Linked DNA regions of Arabidopsis thaliana. The protein of the gene in region 3 interacts with the protein of the main gene of each other region in a pairwise test. Each region holds a gene or a part of one and is shown on either strand. Other genes may lie near its edges.

Region 1 (6,961 bases), on a different chromosome or scaffold from region 3:
GTGACCCATTTGCCCTCGTAGAAAAGCTGCAAACCCGGAACCATGTTGTGTAGAATGAAAGTTAAAGCGCTTACATCGGTGTGAGCTTCCACACCGAGTGCTAGCTCAGGCTGAGGACATTTTGGATAGTAATTTATCTTCATTTGTAGAAGAAGCTCTTCTAAACCACCAACTTCTTTCTCTAGACGGTCAGGCTCTAAACCTAGACCGACAGAGAGAGCCTTGAAGACTTTAGTCGCTAGCAAACGAAGACACTTCGCGTACTCACTCGTTGCTTCTCTACAATCATCGAAAAACGTTAATAAAAGATTCTAAAACCAAAACAAGATTTTGTTTTCTTTAGTAAAACAATTCAAAGCTTACATGTAATCACTTGGTGTCTTAGGCCAAATTGATAGATCTCTCTTCTCTTCAGGATACGCAAGATGAAAGAAGTAATCTTCCCATTCCAATTGTCCACTCGCGTTGTTAGCCAATTTACTTCCATAGCCTTGAATCTTTCCAGTGGCTTGATCGTTTGCATACTTCTCCTTCTCTTCCACAGACAAACTGAAAAACTCTTCTCCGGCTTTCTTGACACGCTCCATTAGATCAGCTGGTATTCCATGGTTGATCAAATGCATCACTCCCCAATCCAAAGATGCCTTTTTCAGCTCCTCAATACAATTCTCACGGATCTTTTCATCGTCTGACTCGATGTTCTTTAGATCGATTGTGGGAACTTGAGGACCGTCTTCTTTCTTCTCTTCTAGGAAAACATCGTTGATGCTCTCGAGCTCTTCTTTTGGACGAATATATTCTTTTGGAATCGATATGATTCCGCTTTTTGCTAGACTCTCAACTCTTTCAACCGCAACCATCTTCTTTAGTCTTCTGTTTAAAGCTAAAACAGAGCAGAAAACAGAGTAAGAAGTAAATAAACTTAAAAACAGGGGAAAAAACAGAGTAATAAAAAAAATGGATTTGTTTTGTTTTTCTTCTTACACTCTTTTTTGTAATTGGTTGCAAGTAAATGAAATGTGCAAAGACTCTTTCTTATATAGCAAAGTTTTTACTATACTTTTAGTTAGAAGAGTTTGTTACCGAACTAAGAGACATTGTAGAGCTACCGGTGGTTAGTGCTATTGTTGTGAGGTAAGTGCGTGACTCACTTCACGGTCAACGGGAGAGGATGGTTGGGTTGACTGATTGGTCAAAAAGATTACTACTATATGGGCTTGGGTCTAGACTCCCAGAAAAGGCCCAATAGAATTAAACCCATAATCGCTATCAACGTGTTCTTCGTCGCGTGCTTTAAGCGTGTCTCCACGTGTTCACCTCTACTAGTTCTTCTACTAACCACATTTTCTTTTTGTAGTTTGGAAATCAATTACTAAAAAAACAATTTGACTGGTTTTCAATTTCAAATAGACAATTGTATGTGGATCAATAATTCTTTTGGAAAACTAAATTATTTATCTTGTTTGTTTTTTAAAATTTGGAACTCATTTTTATTTTAATGGTTTGTACTAAAGTATATTATCAGCTGAATTCAACTACACATACTACATGTCAAATTTTTTTAAAAAATCACCATGTTTCGAAAAAAAAATCTTCTTACTCATCTCACAGTATTTTTTTTATTGTATAATCAAAGCCTAAAATTATGTCTTTTCTCTATTTTAAGTTTTTGTTTTGTTTAAGAAAACCGGATATTTAATGCTGACGTGGATATTCTGATTATGAGGATGAGAGGAAGGAAAAAATAAGAGAAATCTGCCTAGGAATTTATCTCCACACTTCTCTTATCTCCTAATTTCTTCCCTCCAAATTTATAATAAAACCAAAAAAAAAAAAAAAAAAAAAAATCAGAAGAAACCTGAGAAGCTCACAGTAAACACATCTTCAACCACAGGTTCATACTTACTGAAAAAAACAGAGGAAAAAAAGGAGCTCCCTTTTCTATCTCTAAGGGAAAATGGGTAGCAAGATGTTGTTTAGTTTGACAAGTCCTCGACTTTTCTCCGCCGTTTCTCGCAAACCTTCCTCTTCTTTCTCTCCTTCTCCTCCGTCGCCGTCTTCGAGGACTCAATGGACTCAGCTCAGCCCTGGAAAATCGATTTCTTTGAGAAGAAGAGTCTTCTTGTTGCCTGCTAAAGCCACAACAGAGCAATCAGGTCTTGATTTGGCCACTTTAGTCTCGATTTCGAACACTCCGCCTTAGTTTTCTGTTTACAAAGCCATTTGGATTCGAATTTGTTCACAATTGGGTTTCCAAAGTTTGAGCCTTTTGAAATTTAGGATATATTATTTTAATTCAACGTCTCTAGCTCTGAAAATTTATGTTTTTAAGTCACTAACTTGTAGTATCCAGACTCGAATCCTGTTAAAGTTCAATTCTTTGAAGGGTTTGATTGATTCAATGGCTATAACTTTGGTATAGTATATTTGTTTGTATTGGACTTTGTTGACTATTTAGTGGTTAACTCTGTACTAAAGTTTTGCAATGTCAGAAGTTGTGTAACTATTAGGTTGCATAAGTAAGGTATCAACTTTAGATTTGCTATGAAGTTCTCAATTACAGTCTTTTTGTCTTCCTTAAGGTCCAGTAGGAGGAGACAACGTCGATAGCAATGTTTTGCCCTATTGTAGCATCAACAAGGCTGAGAAGAAAACAATTGGTGAAATGGAACAAGAGTTTCTCCAAGCGTTGCAAGTAAACGCTACAATAAACCATTTTTTTTATAGTTGCCAAAACATGATATATATCTAATCTTCAAGAGCCTGAGAATTGCTTTTGTCTTTTGATTACAGTCTTTCTATTATGATGGCAAAGCGATCATGTCTAATGAAGAGTTTGATAACCTTAAAGAAGAGTTAATGTGGGAAGGAAGCAGTGTTGTGATGCTAAGTAATCATCAACTATGGGACTAAATTTCATTTCTTTGTTTTGGTTTCTTTGGTGCAAAGTCCTAAATCTTTTATTGGTAATATGAAACACAGGTTCCGATGAACAAAGATTCTTGGAAGCTTCCATGGCTTATGTTTCTGGAAATCCAATCTTGAATGATGAAGAATATGATAAGCTCAAACTCAAACTAAAGGTTTCCATTCACTTTTTATGCTTCAGTGAAAATAGACATACCCTTATAAGATTGGTTTAAGCTTCAAGTTTATGATTCTTTCTGTATCCATGTAGATTGATGGTAGCGACATTGTGAGCGAGGGTCCAAGATGCAGTCTCCGTAGTAAAAAGGTAAATAGAACATAAGATTCATTGTTAATATTAGATTATAGATAGATACTAATTTTCAGTCTTTATGAACTTCCTCAAATGTAGGTGTATAGTGATCTCGCTGTAGATTATTTCAAAATGTTATTGTTGAATGTTCCAGCAACCGTTGTTGCTCTCGGACTGTGAGTCTCTATACCGAGTTTTCTATTCAAACATCCAAATCATATGAAACCCATATTTCGTCTTTGTTTATTCATTCAATTCTGTACTTGCAGCTTTTTCTTCCTGGACGACATTACAGGTTTTGAGATCACATACATCATGGAGCTTCCAGAACCATACAGTTTCATATTCACTTGGTTCGCTGCTGTGCCTGTGATTGTATATCTGGCTTTATCAATCACCAAATTGATCATCAAGGACTTCTTGATCTTGAAGGTAAGAACCATTACCATTACTCAAGATTGCAAAAGAAAAACATCAAAGAGCCTTTTTATGAATGTTTCTTGTTTCACAGGGTCCTTGTCCGAATTGTGGAACGGAAAACACCTCCTTCTTTGGAACAATTCTGTCAATCTCCAGCGGCGGCAAAACCAACACTGTCAAATGCACCAAGTAAGATTTTACCTTCGAATATGGTTTCAAAAGTGTAACATATTACTATCTGATTCTTTGATTATCTCTGTTTTTAGCTGCGGAACCGCGATGGTGTATGACTCGGGTTCTAGGTTGATCACATTGCCAGAAGGAAGCCAAGCTTAAACCCTGTGAGGTACACATCTCATTTATAGTAAATTCTTTAGATCACATGGAAGTCAGAGATAGTAAAATTTGCTTTTTCCAGCTAGATGAAGATGGGAAAAGAAGAATGGGTTTTGTCAGAAGCAAAATAGATTCGAAGTTAAATGTATATGTAAGATCTTCCATGTTAGCTCTCTCTCCTTCACATGTTTTCTGATTTGTAAGTATTGTGTGTAAGCAATAAGAGATATATAATATGAGCACTTCTTCATCTACCTTTGTAGATAAAAATATAATCATTACTATAGTTAAATCAAATTGTATACATGAAAGACCAAATTCGAATTTAAAATGTTTATTTCGATAACTTTACAATTTCAAATTAACTTTGGTACATTTCTAATACTATTATGATTTGTATCTAAAACGACCTTAAAAAATGATTTTAAGTCAAGAAAACGAAAAGCATACACGATTATATACATTTGCTTACCGAGGCAAGAAACTATGAGAAATGCATGGTGTTAATTTGGATGTAAATTTTATGAAATGGTGTGGAACATAAAGAGATTGATTGAGAAGAGAACTAAAGTCAAGAACATATATAATGAAAGGACAGACAAAGGTAACAACATTGCACAAAAGAGGATAAAGTCACACAAACATTAGCACGCCAATGTCTCTCTCTTTTTTAGTCTAAAAATTGATTACAATTTTTTTTTATGAATTTTAATTAACACAGAAAGTGTAATCATGATCATCATCTTCCCATGCCTCTATCATCATTGATCCAATTTTCTCCTCCACTACTGAACCTATTAATTGCTTTTACGTTGATTTAAAAATTTTAAAACCTCTACGTTAGAACGGTCATATGCTTATTTAACAATTAGATCATGTCTTCTATAAAGGTAAAAGAGAAATCTGACAAATGAAGTGTAAGTGTTTATAATGTTTGTGTCCCAAAACACACATCCCCCACAAAAGTAAAAACACCATCAAAACTTTCTTTCTTTCCTCTTATCTTCACTTCCTCTTGTAAACCCTAGATTCTCTTGTTCCTCTTATGGATTCATTCTCTTTTTGTATCATCATCATGATACTTCTCTTATCATTCCACCAATCTAAGTCTCAATTGATTCAATCTACACATCTTCTTGATCTCATGATCAGAGATTACACCATTAGAAACTTTAAGCTCAATTTCAACACAGGCGTCACTCAGAAAATCTATCTCCCTTCTAATTTCTCTGGTATCGATATTGACACGGTCAAGTTAAGGTGTGGGAGTTTGAGAAGATATGGCGCAAAAATTGGAGAGTTTCACATCGGTTCAGGCCTTACGGTGGAGCCATGTCCGGAGAGAGTCATGCTAATTAGACAAAACTTTGGTTCGAATTGGTCTTCAATCTACTCTACTGGTTATAACTTATCCGGTTACAATTACAAGCTCGTGTCACCGGTTCTTGGTTTGTTGGCTTATAATGCTAACCCTGACGGTGTGGCCAGGAACCCTTACGAGGTTAATGTTGTAGGTACCGATCAAAACCCAATCTTAATCGATTTCTTGATCAACAAGGCAACTAATAACACTAGCCCTAACCCTACGAAGAAGAACTCGTCAGTCTTGTGTGCGTGTTTTACAAGCAACAGTAACACAACGTTTAGCGAGCAAGTCTCGCCGTATGTGTGTAAAGGTACAAGACAAGGGCATTACGCTCTCGTGATGAAGACAGAAGCTCAAAAAGATGATCATGAAGGTGGTGGTAGTAGTGGTGGAGTGGTGGCATCATCGACGGAGGTGAATGGTGGCAACGGAGGAGGAAAGTTGAGCCGTTGGAAAGTGGCGGTGGGGAGTGTGATAGGGTCAGGGATTGGAGCAATTCTGCTGGGAATGTTAGTGGTGGCGATGTTGGTGAAGGGGAAGAAGAAAGCAATGAGAGAAGAAATGGAGAGAAGAGCTTATGAAGAAGAAGCTCTTCAGGTGTCAATGGTGGGTCATGTTAGAGCTCCTACTGCTCCTGGAACTAGAACTCTTCCTAGAATTTCCGATGATAGGTATAATAAAAACACTCATTTGAATAGTAATTATCCATAATTATCATTTGTTTTCTGATTTTTCTTCTTTTTGTGTTAATTGAGTATCTTAAGATAAATAGTTTTGTAGAAATAGTTTCAATGGCTTCAAAATGAAATTTCATCCATTTTTTTTTAGTTTTTGGTTAAACGGCTATAATCGTTAGTTTTCTTTTTACTAAAAGTAAAGACTTTTACAGAATGGAGAATTTTCTCTTTTTTATTTTCTATAAAATGGTCAGTGAAATTATGCAAAAAAATTTAAAAAAATCAGAGAGTCCCCCCAACTTTCATACTGTAAGCTTTATTTTTTTCTTTTCATTTTGATTTATTAATCTCTTTTTCCAACTTTTTAATTAAATGTATATTTCTGATTTAGTGAAGAAAATATACTTTTATCAGTATTGTGACTAGTTAACAGAATTTTCCACCTACACATCAACAAGCATCTTCTCCAGTAAGCTATTGTTAATGCGAAGTACGGAAATATAAACAAATCACCACCTTCATTGCAACTTGCAATCAATTTTTACTCATTTTAGTAAGGTTTTGTTTTTCTTTTTCTTTCAGTTTTTTGTGATTTAGTTTAAGAAAAAATAAAATAAAATATAGATATAATTTGATCAATTTCTTATAGTTGACAGAAAAAAAATCTTATAACTATTGTCTTTTGTTATATTTGATTGGATTATTTTTTGAATATTTTTTTGGTAAATTTTCTTTTATATCTTTGATATTTAAGTTTTGGTTTATACTTTGTATCTCAATTCTGTAAGATATGAAACTAAGATTTTTTTTTTTCTAAGATTTTAGACTTTAGCTTATTAAGAAAATTAAAATTAATTTCTTATAACTGTATAAGTGTATTTTTCTAAAATTTCATTGAACCATTTTTGACTAGTATATATCTTTTTGGAAAAATTTCTAGAA
Region 2 (5,499 bases), on a different chromosome or scaffold from region 3:
GTTCATAGAAAATAGGATTAACCCCCATTGCATATTGGTACTTATCGGATATAGAATAGATCCGCTTCCCTTTTTTTCTATGAATTGAATTGTTCCATTATTACTAACAGAATAGAACAAATATTAATCCTTTCTCCGAAATAATTACCTAAAAAGGGGGGGTACGTAGCATAGTTTTTTCCAATGCAATAAAGTTACATAGTGTCTATTTTTCGTTGATAAAGGGGTATTTCCATGGGTTTGCCTTGGTATCGTGTTCATACTGTTGTATTGAATGATCCCGGTCGTTTACTTGCTGTTCATATAATGCATACTGCTCTAGTTGCTGGTTGGGCTGGTTCGATGGCTCTATATGAATTAGCAGTTTTTGATCCCTCCGACCCCGTTCTTGATCCAATGTGGAGACAAGGTATGTTCGTTATACCTTTCATGACTCGTTTAGGAATAACCAATTCTTGGGGCGGTTGGAATATTACAGGGGGGACTATAACGAATCCGGGTCTTTGGAGTTACGAAGGGGTAGCCGGAGCACATATAGTGTTTTCTGGTTTGTGCTTCTTGGCAGCTATTTGGCATTGGGTATATTGGGATCTAGAAATTTTTTGTGATGAACGTACAGGAAAACCTTCTTTGGATTTGCCCAAGATTTTTGGAATTCATTTATTTCTTTCAGGAGTGGCTTGCTTCGGTTTTGGCGCATTTCATGTAACAGGATTATATGGTCCTGGAATATGGGTATCCGACCCTTATGGACTAACCGGAAAGGTACAACCCGTAAACCCGGCGTGGGGCGTGGAGGGTTTTGACCCTTTTGTTCCGGGAGGAATAGCCTCTCATCATATTGCAGCAGGGACGTTGGGTATATTAGCGGGCCTATTCCATCTTAGTGTTCGTCCGCCTCAACGTCTATACAAAGGATTACGTATGGGCAATATTGAAACCGTCCTTTCCAGTAGTATTGCTGCTGTCTTTTTTGCAGCTTTTGTTGTTGCTGGAACTATGTGGTATGGTTCTGCAACTACTCCCATCGAATTATTTGGTCCTACTCGTTATCAATGGGATCAGGGATACTTTCAACAAGAAATATATCGAAGAGTTAGTGCTGGACTGGCTGAAAATCAAAGTTTATCAGAAGCTTGGGCGAAAATTCCTGAAAAATTAGCTTTTTATGATTATATTGGTAATAATCCAGCAAAAGGGGGGTTATTCCGAGCGGGTTCAATGGACAATGGGGATGGAATAGCTGTTGGATGGTTAGGCCACCCCGTCTTTAGAAATAAAGAAGGGCGTGAACTTTTTGTACGCCGCATGCCTACTTTTTTTGAAACTTTTCCGGTAGTTTTGGTAGACGGAGACGGAATTGTTAGAGCTGACGTCCCGTTTAGAAGGGCAGAATCAAAATATAGTGTCGAACAAGTAGGTGTAACTGTTGAGTTTTATGGTGGTGAACTCAATGGAGTGAGTTATAGTGATCCCGCAACTGTGAAAAAATATGCTAGACGGGCTCAATTGGGTGAGATTTTTGAATTAGATCGTGCGACTTTGAAATCTGATGGTGTTTTTCGTAGCAGCCCAAGAGGTTGGTTTACGTTTGGACATGCTTCGTTTGCTCTACTTTTCTTCTTTGGACACATTTGGCATGGTGCTAGAACCCTCTTCAGAGATGTTTTTGCTGGTATTGATCCAGATTTGGATGCTCAAGTGGAATTCGGGGCATTCCAAAAACTTGGAGATCCAACTACAAAACGACAAGCAGTCTGATGCAACATTGCTTTTTTTCTTCTAGTTTCTGTTTGTTATTTTATTTAATAGGTAGGGTACTGTAGGAATCTTTATTTAAATCGCTGCCGTTTCTTTGACTCTTTTTCTTTCTTTATCCTCCCAAGTAAACAAAACGTAAACAAAACAGGTATGAAAGCTATAATTGTAAACCACGATCAAATTTATGGAAGCATTGGTTTATACATTTCTCTTAGTATCCACTTTAGGGATAATTTTTTTCGCTATTTTTTTTCGGGAACCACCTAAAATTTCAACTAAAAAATGAAATAATTTTTCATTATCTTCATTAACGTAATCAGCCTCCAAATATTTGGAGGCTGATTACGTTAACTAGTCCCCGTGTTCCTCGAATGGATCTCTTAGTTGTTGAGAGGGTTGCCCAAAGGCAGTATATAGAGCATACCCAGTAAAACTTACAAGTAACCCAGATATAAAGATGGCGACTAGGGTTGCTGTTTCCATTATTATAGAATTGAAAGACCACACCGGATCTATGCTAAGATCATTTATTTACAACGGAATGGTATACAAAGTCAACAGATCGTAATGAATACAAAATAAGATTTATGGCTACACAAACTGTTGAAGATAGTTCTAGATCTGGTCCAAGAAGCACTACTGTAGGGAAGTTATTGAAACCATTGAATTCCGAATATGGTAAAGTAGCTCCCGGATGGGGAACGACCCCTTTGATGGGTGTTGCAATGGCTCTATTTGCGGTATTCCTATCTATTATTTTGGAGATTTATAATTCTTCTGTTCTACTGGATGGAATTTCAGTGAATTAGACTGAGAAGAATCTTGAAGTTCTAGCTTTTAGCTCGATACAAAAAAGTAAAGTATGCAGGTCTAACAATTTTAGCCTATTCTCCTTTGGTAGTTCGACCGCGAAATTTTTTTCTGCATTGTATATTTCCGGAATATGAGTGTGTGACTTGTTAGAATTGACCCTATGGATAGTACAGAGAATGGGGTCTGTCATCTTTATCAAGATGGTTTTACTTCGTCGGATATTCATTCGAGTATCTGGAGCACGAAATAGATCAAATAGATCACAAAGTATTCGAACTATGATTCATACTTAAATACTCAAACCTCGTAGCCGGACTTCTTTCCGTTCTATCTTATAAACTTTAATAAATCAAAAAAATTTTCTGCTTTTAAACTCTTATTTGGATCAAAGGACAAACGCTTCTTTGTATTTTATGTTTTTAGTCATTATAGCTTTTTTTTTATTGAATAAGTGATGATCCAATGGTTCTCACTCAGTGAACTTTGGACTTTGAAGGTTTCATTAAATTATCGTGGTTCTCGTATGAATCTGAGGTTTCAATTGATTAGTTAAGTAGGGTCTTAACAAGAGAATTCCTATCAATAATAAAGAAAACAAGAAGAAATCCCTGTCCCCGTTCCATACAAATACCAAATAAAAAAAGACAATAAAGATAGGTAATCTAGAAGATTCAAGAGGCCTGTAACGATCAACACAACATAAAGACGAATGAGCTTACTTGATTTTTTGGCATTTAACCACAAAGACGAGCTTTCGCATTTTGACTCTTTCATATCTTTAAATAATAAAAAATAATATTGAATGAGAGACAAGTTTAAAACTTTATATTCCATATCTGTTTCAATCAGTATTTGGGTCTTTTTTTGTTTGAGCTGTACGAGATGAAATTCTCATATACAGTTCTTGGAGGGGGAGTAACCTTGGTTTACCTATCTCAATAAAGTTTATGATTGGTTCGAAGAACGTCTTGAGATTCAGGCGATTGCAGATGATATAACTAGTAAATATGTTCCTCCGCATGTCAACATATTTTATTGTCTAGGCGGAATTACCCTTACTTGTTTTTTAGTACAAGTAGCTACGGGATTTGCTATGACTTTTTATTACCGTCCAACCGTTACTGAAGCTTTTGCTTCTGTTCAATATATAATGACTGAAGCTAACTTTGGTTGGTTAATCCGATCAGTTCATCGATGGTCGGCAAGTATGATGGTCCTAATGATGATCCTGCACGTATTTCGTGTATACCTCACCGGTGGTTTTAAAAAACCTCGCGAATTAACTTGGGTTACTGGTGTGGTTCTGGGTGTATTGACCGCATCTTTTGGTGTAACAGGTTATTCTTTACCTTGGGATCAAATTGGTTATTGGGCGGTCAAAATTGTAACAGGTGTACCTGACGCTATTCCGGTAATAGGATCACCTCTTGTAGAATTATTACGCGGAAGTGCTAGTGTTGGACAATCCACTTTGACTCGTTTTTATAGTTTACACACTTTTGTATTACCTCTTCTTACGGCCGTCTTTATGTTAATGCATTTCCTAATGATACGTAAGCAAGGTATTTCTGGTCCCTTATAAATAATATAGATTCTAGGTATTTGTACTTACTTATTACTTGGTGAAGGAACGATAGTATTTTATTGCTATAAATATGGATTATTAAAAAAATAAAACATGTATTTGGATATTTCCCTTCAACTCCACAATATTTTATTATTTTTTTGACATAAAAAGTTGAAGGGAATTCTATGAAGAGATAATGGATTATGGGAGTGTGTGACTTGAACTATTGATCGGGCCGTGCAGAAATATTACTTTATCTGCTACATTGGAATTCACAACCAAATGTGTCTTTGTTCCAACCACTGTGTAAGCCCCATACAGGGGATAGGCTGGTTCACTTGAAGAGAATCTTTTCTATGATCGTACCCGACGCTGTCGTGGATGAGTGGGCTCCGTAAAATCCAGTAGATTAAGGGATGGAACAAAATCCTGATTATGTTTTTAGTTATTTTGGACTAAAAAAAAAAAAGAAAATAATTATTAATAGTAATAGTATGTAAATGCATTCATTTTCTCTGCATCGACTCGATTTATGATACTATCGGAGTGAATACAGGATCTAATGAAGAGTAGAGGGTAGACTCCATTAGTAACAAGTAAATCCTTTGTATTTGAAAAATCTCGATATAATTGTTGAGATTAAGGACGAATTTATAAGGTATGAGACGACCCAGAAAGCACTTAATCATGATAAACTTTTTAAGCTTACGTGGGTGTTGAGCATTTACCTGTAAGAATGGAATTTCTTGAATCTTTAGTTGCAATAACTTTGGAATCGGATAATTAATTTTTACATATTAAATTATATTTTTTGTATGTATTCATTTAGTTTGGTTAATTCTTGCTCGAGCCGGATGATAAAAAATTATCATGTCCGGTTCCCTCGGGGGATGGATCCATAAGAATTCACCTATCCCAATAACAAAAAAACCAGATTTGAATGATCCTGTATTACGAGCTAAATTAGCTAAAGGTATGGGTCACAATTATTACGGGGAACCCGCATGGCCCAACGACCTTTTATATATTTTTCCAGTAGTTATTCTTGGTACCATTGCCTGTAACGTAGGCTTAGCGGTTTTAGAACCATCAATGATTGGTGAACCTGCGGATCCTTTTGCAACTCCTTTGGAAATATTACCTGAATGGTATTTCTTTCCTGTATTTCAAATACTTCGTACAGTGCCTAACAAATTATTGGGTGTTCTTTTAATGGTTTCAGTACCAGCGGGATTATTAACCGTACCCTTTTTGGAAAATGTTAATAAGTTTCAAAATCCATTTCGTCGTCCAGTAGCGACAACCGTCTTTTTGATTGGCACCGCGGCGGCCCTGTGGTTAGGTATTGGAGCAACATT
Region 3 (10,259 bases):
ATTTTTTTTGCTAGACAAACATCCATCTCAAAAAAATACAGGTCAATATCACAGTCTCAAAAGTCACCTACAATATAGTCCTTCCGTATATCGATGACGTAACAGTCGATAACTCCGTTGGAAGACATAAGAGTTTTGTTAAACAAACCCTCCATATATTTTTTTATTTTTGCAAGACAAACCTCAATGTCAAATAAATACAATATTACAATCTCAAAGTCACCCGCGATATAGTCATTTTGTATAGCGATGACATGACAATCGATAATTCCGTTAAAAGCATAATGGATATCAAAATAGACCTTTGTTTTGCTTTTGTTGAAAACCACATGATTGTGTGAGTTTCGTTATTAGAAATAGAATTGAGGGAAATAATTAGAGTTCTTTCATATTATATCTTCTTCTTTATTCATATGAAGTTTGGAGATTCATTTTTCTTTTCCATTTCGATCTTCATCCATTTCGATGTATGTGTTTGTTGAATTGTGTTCCACATGATCAAAAATCTTGGTTTGATTTTAAGTGATTCATTTACAGTTTTGAAGATCCCAATGAAAAATAAATATGAATCTCCAAATTTTCAGATAAATAAAAATTCAATAATTTTGGTGTATATTGTTTTATGGGTAATATTAGTAGATAACCAAATAAAACATACAAATTAAGAAACTAGCAGAGAGAAAGTTTTTTGTTACAAAATAACCATGGATCCCACGTTGTCGGAAGAAAGGAAATAACAAATCTACCCTTCATTTGTTGTAAGATGAACAGTAAACGAAATACATCCGTGTAATTTTTCAAAATAGCATGTAACATTAAAATTTCACATGTTATATTTAGTTTAAAAACATGCTATTTCAAAAAACGTTATGAATTTTTAAGAAAAAATATTCTTATGAAATTCTTTTACGTGAACAGAATCTTAAAAAAAAAAAATTATATGTGATTTTAATAAAAACCATGTATTACTAAAAAATAGGAATATATTTTTAAAGAAATCACGTGTGATCTTAATAAAAAACGTGTATTACTACAAAATATCATGATAAAAAGAGATATTAAACTGAATAGAATGTTTTTTCCAAAAAATACCAGGTGCTTTTTAATAAATACTATGTAATAAGAGAAAATAACAAGATAAAAAGAGGATATTATGTTATCGCATGTATTTCGGAAAAATAACATGTTACAAAGGACATTTACGTAATTACACGTGTTTTCCAACATGTTTCCGACAAGATACTGTGATTCAAGGTTAGTTTGTACATTCTTTTCAAATCTATAGTCATTTATTATAAATACTCTTGTTTTATTGTATGTTTTCTAATGTAGTTATTGGTTGTCATGTCATCACTACACAAAAAGATAATATTATGAGTGATTTTTAAGATTGTAGTGTTGACATTCATTTATTTGATATGAAGATTTTTTTTTACAAAAAAAGTTTACATAGAAATTTTTTACACTAAATCTTTATGTTTTTAATAGAGTTATCGTCTATATCAAACCTACATTTATTTGACATAATAGTTTATCTTATAAAAAATGACTTCATCTGTTCTTTTTTATTTGATTGGTTAGGAAAAACACACATATTAAGTTAAACATATTAAAATTGTTAAATGTATTATTTTTTGTATTTTACAATTTTTTATAACTTTAAATCAATAATATTCAATTATTTTTATCAAAGTTTATAATTAATTAATAATAACTAATAAATATTTCATAAAAAATCTAAAAATTAATCTTTTAAAAACTTATTTTTTTCAAAAAACAGAGAGTGTTAAATAGATAGATTTTTTTACACAAAACCCAAAAAAAAAAACTAAGACCTTGAATGTTTTTTAGATTTTGTAAGAGTTTTTGATTTTTGTTTTTTAAAAACTTATTTTAATACCAATCAAGATTTTAAAATTTTGGTTTCCCTACAATTTAGTAAAACTATTTTATTGTAGTTTTCCATTCATATTTAAGTTTTTTAGTTTTTCTAAAGTTTAGAAAATCTAGTTTTTACTCAATCAACGTTATTTTTTCAAAAACCAAAAACCAATTTTTTAGGGGTTTTTAAAACAAAAATATAATAACAAAAATCTAAAATCTATAGACTAAAATCTAAACTCAAAAACTGAATCGAAAATATCCATTCAGGCCTAATACATCCAATATTTCAATACTTCTTAACTCTTAACTCTTAAGTTTTAAGTAATTAAATATATAAAGATCTGTTGCCAAGCGTACCCTTTTTATAAACATTCCAAATAACTATCTCCATTCTTTGGAGTTACCCAATTTCGACGTTGAACACAAACCCTTGCTTCTCTCTTCTCTGTTTCTCTCTCGCAGCGAAAAATCATGGCGATTAGCTCCTTCAAGCATGAACATCCTCTTGGTTCGTTTTCGATTTAAACCTAATCGATCAATCTTGTTGATCTTTGTGTATCTCTCTCTCATCGTAGGGATTTTTTTAGCGACTAGGTTTAAAAATTCTCAAAATCTGGTTACGTCTATTTCAATTGCTTCTGAGTTTGCATGAATTGATCCTTGATTCTGATTTCCAACGATTTCAATTTTGATTGCGTTAACAGTTATAAGAATCCGCAAAATTATATGTTGAATGATTTTATCGCCGATTCTGTATTGTTTCGTGAAGTAGTATGCATAATCTTTGATTGAAACAAGTTTTGTGTTTATTGATGCAAATACATTATGATCTTTATTCAAGTGGAGATGAATATTGATGTTGAAGTTACTAAGTTTCACTTGTCTCTCTTGTGTTCCGTGGTCGAGTCTCTGTTGTTCACGGGGCGTAGAATCGCTATTTCAGTCCCTGTACATAATCTTTGATTGAAACATGTTCTGATTTGGTGCTGCTTTTGCTGAGGAAGCAAAATACATTATAGTCTCTGTTCAAGTGGAATCCTAAGATATTATCACTGAGTATGTGTTGTTCACGAGGCTTAGAATCACTATTTTAGTCCCTGGAGCCTGGAGTAGTAGTGTACATAATCTTTGATTGAAACATGTTTTGATTTTGTTCTACTTTTGCTGAGGAAGCAAAGTACATTATAGTCTCTGTTCAAGTGGAATCCTAAGATATTATCGCTGAGTCTGTGTTGTTTTACGTGGGTTAGAGGATGTTGATGTGTTGAAAATTGATGGATCTGTGTTTTTTTTGCTCTTGAATGTTACAGAAAAGAGACAAGCTGAAGCAGCACGTATCAGGGAGAAGTATCCAGACAGAATACCAGTATGAATTTTGGCTATTTTCATTTAAGAAAATTGCATAGCTTTTGCCTTATTCTCTCTGAAATTGTTGCAGGTCATTGTCGAAAGAGCCGAGAAGAGTGATGTCCCGGATATTGATAGGAAAAAGTAAGTCCTTACTTCTCTTGAGGAGTTGGATATAATCTCTTTCTTCTCACTGAAAGTGGCTTCAAGCCCTTTTCTGAGAACCCTACACTCCCTCACATTTAGTAATGAATTGGTTAATTGGATAGAAATAATTTTTTTTTATTGAAAGATCTGGAGGAATTTCTGGTTTTCATGGTTTGTTGCTTAGGGATAATGAATTGGCTGACTTACTATTCAAAACTTTAGGTACTTGGTCCCAGCTGATTTGACTGTTGGCCAGTTTGTTTATGTTGTACGGAAGCGGATCAAGCTCAGTCCCGAGAAAGCCATCTTCATTTTTGTCAAGAACATTCTACCACCAACTGGTTAGTTTCAAACACGTTCCTTAATCATATACTTTTCCAGTTCAAGGAATCATATCTTTTTCTCAGTTGAGCTAATAGTAGTAGTGTTATCCTTTTATTGCAGCGGCAATAATGTCTGCAATTTATGAAGAGCACAAAGACGAAGACGGGTTTCTATACATGAGTTACAGTGGTGAGAACACGTTCGGGATCTTCTTCTAATGCGCTTGGAATATGTGGATGCATCAGATTATCAATGTACAGTCTGTCTATTTCTCTGCTTGTCTCTAGTTTTCATGACATTGGACGAAGCTTTTGAAACTTGCATGCTATGTTATTAACATGATAAGGTCTTCCGTTCATGGTGTTAATTTGGCTTTATGCTACACTTAATTTCAAACTTAGTCGCTATATATAGTTGAGGTCACTTGGTGTCCTCCTTGAATATTGGCCCGGCCTATTTCACTAGTCGTTGAACCGTTACGATTTCTATCTTCTCAAAGTTAGCTCGACCGTCAAATCTCTAAGCTCTTGCAATCTCTGCTTCTAAGGAACACAAAACAGAGATAACTTTAGCTATAAATATTTAGATTTCAAAAGCAACTTGATTTAGGTAAATTTGTGCACACTCTAGAATAGATTATCATCTGTTACAGATTATTACTGTACAATCCAGCAAAAACTAGGCCTGGGATTTCGGATTAACCCAATGACCGAACTGAACAAACCGTTTTTTTGGTTCTGATAACCGACTATGAAGGGAAGGCTAAACCGATCGGCGAAATTATAATTGAAGTTCGGTTCTCGGTTCGGCAGACATAACCGATCAGTTTTCTCGGTTAATAGATACTATAAATATAAAGATAAAAACATTAGATCTAATCTTTTTAGCTTCTTCTCCGTTTCCTTTTGATCCTCATCCATGGCTATTTAGTCAATTCTCTCTATCTGCATGTGGTTTTCACTATGGTAGCACGTCGGGGCATATTTCGTTACGGAGATATCGTCATCCCTCGCTATCACCGTCACCGTCACAGACGTAGATCTGCTGATTATGAAGAGGGTAGCGGCACCAAGATACCATCAACCCTAATTTTTAATAGGTTTGGATTTTTAGTTATTTTGGGTTTAAGTTTGTTTTTCGTTTTGGCCCAATTATTGGTTTGTAATTATAAAATTTTGTTTATCTTCGCCCATTCTATAATTTTTGTTTTGACCCATTATCTTGATTTTGGACTTATTCGGTATAAACTAACCGAACTAAAAAAAAAATCGGTTTAGTTCAGAGTTGATTTTGAATCCTATAACCAAACCGACCCGAACCAAATCTTTATTCGGTTTAATTTGACAAAATTTTAAAGAACCGAAAAAACCGATTAAACCAAACCGAACCGATTACCCGAATAAACCGAATGCCCAGGCCAAAAACAACTGAAAATAAAAAATAAAAAATGAGATAGGAGAATATTTAATCCGACGGTGGAGAAATGTTGATATAATAAAACGTGATACAGAGGATCATAAACCCGCAACATGAGAAACGTAATAAGTTAAGTCAAAAAAACGAAAAAGCCAGAATCATATTTGTGGCTCTGGTTTCTCCATCCAAACAAAAACAACACCCAAACCTTGTCCACACCAAAATGTTAAACTCAAAATCCAACCACACACACACAATTTCTCTTCCTCTCTACCATTAACATCGATCAGAAAGACCGAGAGAGAGAGGGAGAAGCTGATTGATTATGGCTGCTGCTTCGATTTCTGCAATAGGATGTAATCAAACTTTGATAGGAACTTCCTTCTATGGAGGATGGGGAAGTTCCATCTCCGGAGAAGATTACCAAACCATGCTCTCCAAGACAGTTGCGCCACCGCAACAAGCCAGAGTCTCAAGGAAAGCAATCAGAGCAGTTCCAATGATGAAGAATGTCAATGAAGGCAAAGGCTTATTTGCACCTCTAGTTGTTGTCACACGCAACCTAGTAGGCAAGAAGAGGTTTAATCAGCTCAGAGGAAAAGCCATTGCCTTACACTCTCAGGTTTGCTTGTCTTATAATCATTCTCTTAAGAACTAGTCAAAGAAGCAAAGTTTTGTGGAACTGGGTTCTTTTGTTCTTTCAGGTGATCACTGAGTTTTGCAAATCGATTGGAGCAGATGCAAAACAGAGACAAGGGCTTATCAGGCTTGCTAAGAAGAATGGAGAGAGGCTTGGTTTCCTTGCTTAGGTCTTAAAAAGAACAAATCTTTCTCTCTGCTTGTGTCTGATATATACACTCACAACTCCTCTTGTTGTTCTTGTCTAGATGTATTTTGTCCAAACCTATAATCTTGATTTTTGTTACATTGCCTTTGAGGGTTACTCAAACACACATAACTGCTGCCATTCTCATCTGAAAAGTTGTTCAATAAGGTCTTAGCTGAACTAGTTTTCTCAGTCACATAGAGATACAAAATATGTAATATTGCCACTCTTTCAACAGATTAAAAAGCCTAATCATAACTCTCAAACAATTAAGGGATTGAAAAAGACTGTAAGTTTTGCTTTCTATTGAAGCATCCCTAAGATCGGAGAGGTATTGAGAGCTGCAGTTTTTTAACACCGTGAGCTTACACTGATTACTTCAAGACCCAAGTAAGATTGCATAATATGTCAATAAAGTTGTCATCGTGGAAACTTGATATATATGGAACTTTACCTAGACATTCTTTAACACAAACTCTGTTTCTGCTAGCTAAGCATTCGTTCCCAAAGGTTTCCAGGAGGTTGACTTGTTGCCAGTTGCCTTAACCTTGATTAGGTTGAAAATTTGGGTACGAGTAATGTTACAGAACCACACGTGGGAGGTCACACGTGCGAAATCAAATGGAAGAAGGAATTAATAAGAGGCTGACGCGTGTCGACTGAGGAGTGGCAGACTCAAACATGCCGTTAGGCCCTTCTATATGAGCAATATTCAGCTCATCTTTCTCTTTTATCAATTAATCTGTAAAATCTAGAATCTCTGAGAACTTTTCTAAGCTAGATATCTCACATCGAGACTAGCAGATCCTTGGGTGTTTTATGAACATCGATTGCTCATTGTAATCAGGGATTTATTCTTAATCGGAATTGATTTTACAGTGAACCGGAAAGTTATTTGTATCAAAGGTATCAAAGCTCTGTCTTTCCTTGGAGTCATGGTTCATACACGTTTTCATGATGAGTCGAAGGAGAAGGGAAAAGAGGTGGAAGGTTTGGATCCGATGGAGGAGAGGATGGCGAGGCTGGAGGCGATGATGGAAGCTCATAGCAAAGCGACGATGAAGAATCTGGCTGATATGATGACTGCGATGAGCAGATCTACAGCTCAGAAACAGCCGGATGAGCAGTCCAGTGGTGAGCGGAGTCTACCTCGATCATCAACTTCAACGGATGATAGAGTGGTTTTTCAGGATGTCCGATGAGAAAATCGACCAGAGCAGGATCAACGACGAGACAATCGTCACGAACAGGATCAGCGAAGGGAAAATCGTCATGATCAGGTTCGATTTGAAAACCCAAACAATTATGGTAACTTGACGCGTTTGGGTAAGATTGATTTGCCTCGTTTTGATGGATCTGGAATCAAAGAATGGTTGTTCAAGGTAGAGGAGTTCTTTGGTATTGATTATACCCATGCAGATCTGAAGGTGAAGATGGCTGCTATCCATTTCGATGGTCATGCTGCAACATGGCATCACTCTTTTATGCAGTCGGGTGTAGGTTTGGAGGTGTTGTATGATTGGCCTGGTTATGTTCAGTAGTTGAGAGAGCGGTTTGATGATGACTGTGATGATCCCATGGCTGAGTTGAAGAAGCTAAAGGAAACAGATGGCATTGTTGATTATCATAAGAAGTTTGAGTTGATTAAGATTCGGGTTAACCTTTCTGAAGAATATTTGGTGAGTGTTTATTTGGCAGGTTTGCGAATGGACACTCAGATGCATGTCAGGATGTTTCAACCACAAACGGTGCGTCACTGTTTTCGTTTGGGAAGGCTGTATGAGAAGGCACATCCTAAGCGTCTTTCTTCAACACCTTGGCAACCTAAGACAAGTGGAGCAGCTGGTACTTTGAAGTCACCTAGAGAGGCTTCTAATACACCTGACAAATATTACAACAAGGAGAATCAATACACTAAACCTGAGTTTAAACCAAATAATGCTAGGAAGCTGTCTCAACAGGAAATGAGTGAGAGGAGAACGAAGGGCTTATGTTATTTCTGTGATGAGAAGTTCAGTCCTGAACATTATTTGGTGCACAAAAAGCAACAACTCTTTTGTATGGAAGTGGATGAAGAGTTTGAAGATGCGTTAGAGGAATTGACTGGTGAAGAAGAGAAGAATATGCCTCAGATTTCAGTGAATGCGGTTTCAGGTATCTCAGGATACAAGACTATGCGGGTAAAAGGAGCTTATGGGAAAAAGACCTTGTTTATATTGGTTGATTCAGGTTCTACTCATAACTTCATTGATTCGAAGGTGGCGGCTAAGTTGGGTTGTCAGATTCAGGATGCAGGGTTGGCTCGGGTCTCAGTGGCTGATGGTAGGAAGTTGAAAGTGGATGGGAAGATAGTGGATTTCTCTTGGAAGTTACAGACTACACAGTTTCACTCAGATATTTTGCTGATTCCATTACAAGGAGTGGATATGGTTTTGGGAGTTCAGTGGTTGGAAACTTTGGGAAGAATTTCTTGGGACTTTAAGCAGTTGGATATGAAGTTCAGATATGGTAATCAGAAAGTGTGGCTGCATGGTATTAAGGAAGGGTCTGTGAGAGAGGTCAAGGCACAAAAACTACATAAACTTCAAGAAGAAGAGGTTCAGTTGGCTATGTTATATGTAAGGAAGTGGTTGAATCTGAAGAAGATGATGATACAGAACATCAGGTTTTGGGTTCTATTAATGCCTTAACAAAAGATATGGGAGAGGAGTCATTTGTAGAGAAGGTTGTGACAGAATTTCCTGATATTTTTGTAGAGCCTACAGATTTACCTCCTTTTAGAGCACCACATGATCACAAGATAGAATTATTGGAGGACTCTAATCCGGTGAATCAAAGACCATACCGTTATGTTGTTCATCAGAAGAATGAAATCGATAAAATTGTGGACGATATGTTGGCGAGTGGGACGATACAAGCGAGTTCAAGTCCATATGCTTCTCCGGTGGTCTTGGTTAAGAAGAAGGATGGCACGTGGAGGCTTTGTGTAGATTACAGAGAGCTCAATGGAATGACTGTGAAGGACAGGTTTCCTATACCATTAATTGAGGATTTGATGGATGAATTAGGTGGCTCCAATGTGTATTCTAAGATTGACTTAAGAGCTGGCTACCACCAAGTTCGCATGGATCCTCTTGATATACACAAGACTGCTTTTAAAACGCATAATGGTCATTACGAGTATTTGGTAATGCCATTTGGCCTTACTAATGCCCCGGCTTCCTTTCAAAGTCTAATGAACTCCTTTTTCAAACCATTCTTAAGAAAGTTTGTTTTGGTGTTCTTTGACGATATCTTAATATACAGTACTTCAATGGAAGAACACAAGAAGCATTTGGAAGCTGTGTTTGAGGTTATGAGAGTGCATCACTTGTTTGCCAAGATGAGTAAATGCGCATTTGCAGTTCCAAGAGTGGAGTACTTAGGCCATTTCATAAGTGGGGAGGGAATTGCCACGGATCCTGCTAAGATCAAGGCAGTTCAGGATTGGCCGGTTCCTGTTAATCTCAAGCAGCTTTGTGGTTTTTTGGGATTGACTGGTTATTATAGGCGGTTTGTAAGGAACTATGGAACTATTGCAAGTCCTCTCCATGCGTTAACTAAAACAGATTCCTTCGTGTGGACTACTGAAGTTCAGCTTGCTTTTCAAAACCTTAAGGACACATGTGCAACACTCCGGTGTTAGCTCTACCTCAATTTGATAAGCAGTTCGTAGTAGAAATGGATGCGTGTGGTCATGGCATTGGTGCAGTGTTAATGCAAGAAGGACACCCATTGGCTTTCATCAGTAGGCAGTTGAAAGGGAAACAATTGCATCTGTCCATTTATGAAAAAGAGTTATTGGCAGTGATCTTTGTTGTGAGGAAGTGGAGGCATTACTTGATTTCTAGCCACTTTATCATTAAGACAGATCAAAGAAGCCTGAAGTATTTGCTGGAACAAAGGCTCAACACTCCCATCCAACAGCAATGGTTACCTAAACTGTTGGAATTTGATTATGAAATACAGTACAAGCAAGGCAAAGAGAATCTGGTGGCCGATGCTTTGTCACGTGTAGAGGGGTCTGAAGTTCTGCACATGGCTCTATCTGTGGTCGAGTGTGATTTACTAAAAGAGATTCAAGCTGGTTATGTGACAGATGGGGATATTCAAGGAATTATCACAATTCTACAACAGCAGGCTGACAGTAAGAAACACTATACTTGGAGTCAAGGAGTGTTAAGACGCAAGAATAAGATTGTGGTTCCAAATAACAGTGGAATTAAGGATACTATTTTGAGATGGTTGCATTGCTCTGGAATGGGTGGACACTCGG

Evidence for each region.
Region 1: the proteins of PGR5 (region 3) and PGR5-LIKE A interact in a two-hybrid assay, tested with the Arabidopsis thaliana proteins (one study listed by BioGRID).
Region 2: the proteins of PGR5 (region 3) and petB interact in a protein complementation assay, tested with the Arabidopsis thaliana proteins (one study listed by BioGRID).

What each region holds. Positions count from the first base shown.
Region 1 is NC_003075.7:12,005,200-12,012,160, forward strand, and holds PGR5-LIKE A (PGR5-LIKE A), read left to right. Parts: upstream 1-1,786; 5' UTR 1,787-1,957; coding exon 1,958-2,156; intron 2,157-2,582; coding exon 2,583-2,695; intron 2,696-2,793; coding exon 2,794-2,890; intron 2,891-2,982; coding exon 2,983-3,083; intron 3,084-3,178; coding exon 3,179-3,235; intron 3,236-3,319; coding exon 3,320-3,396; intron 3,397-3,489; coding exon 3,490-3,652; intron 3,653-3,731; coding exon 3,732-3,829; coding exon of another isoform or gene 3,830-3,833; exon of another isoform or gene 3,834-3,906; coding exon 3,907-3,976; 3' UTR 3,977-3,986; intron 3,987-4,058; 3' UTR 4,059-4,337; downstream 4,338-6,961. Other genes in the region: LDOX (leucoanthocyanidin dioxygenase), read right to left, coding at 1-279, 364-860; AT4G22900 (transmembrane protein, putative (DUF1191)), read left to right, coding at 5,022-6,053. UniProt on the Arabidopsis thaliana protein: Ferredoxin-plastoquinone reductase involved in cyclic electron flow (CEF) around photosystem I. The homodimer is probably not involved in CEF.
Region 2 is NC_000932.1:72,137-77,635, forward strand, and holds petB (cytochrome b6), read left to right. Parts: upstream 1-2,704; coding exon 2,705-2,710; intron 2,711-3,514; coding exon 3,515-4,156; downstream 4,157-5,499. Other genes in the region: psbB (photosystem II 47 kDa protein), read left to right, coding at 235-1,761; psbT (photosystem II protein T), read left to right, coding at 1,946-2,047; psbN (photosystem II protein N), read right to left, coding at 2,113-2,244; psbH (photosystem II protein H), read left to right, coding at 2,349-2,570; petD (cytochrome b6/f complex subunit IV), read left to right, coding at 4,345-4,352, 5,062-5,499. UniProt on the Arabidopsis thaliana protein: Component of the cytochrome b6-f complex, which mediates electron transfer between photosystem II (PSII) and photosystem I (PSI), cyclic electron flow around PSI, and state transitions.
Region 3 is NC_003071.7:2,076,872-2,087,130, reverse strand, and holds PGR5 (proton gradient regulation 5), read left to right. Parts: upstream 1-5,271; 5' UTR 5,272-5,443; coding exon 5,444-5,740; intron 5,741-5,822; coding exon 5,823-5,927; 3' UTR 5,928-6,484; downstream 6,485-10,259. Other genes in the region: ATG8D (Ubiquitin-like superfamily protein), read left to right, coding at 2,356-2,392, 2,726-2,832, 2,916-2,940, 3,195-3,250, 3,323-3,375, 3,601-3,719, 3,823-3,920. UniProt on the Arabidopsis thaliana protein: Critical for growth under fluctuating-light conditions. Involved in the regulation of the cyclic electron flow (CEF) around Photosystem I. Essential for the reduction of PGRL1A by ferredoxin and for photoprotection.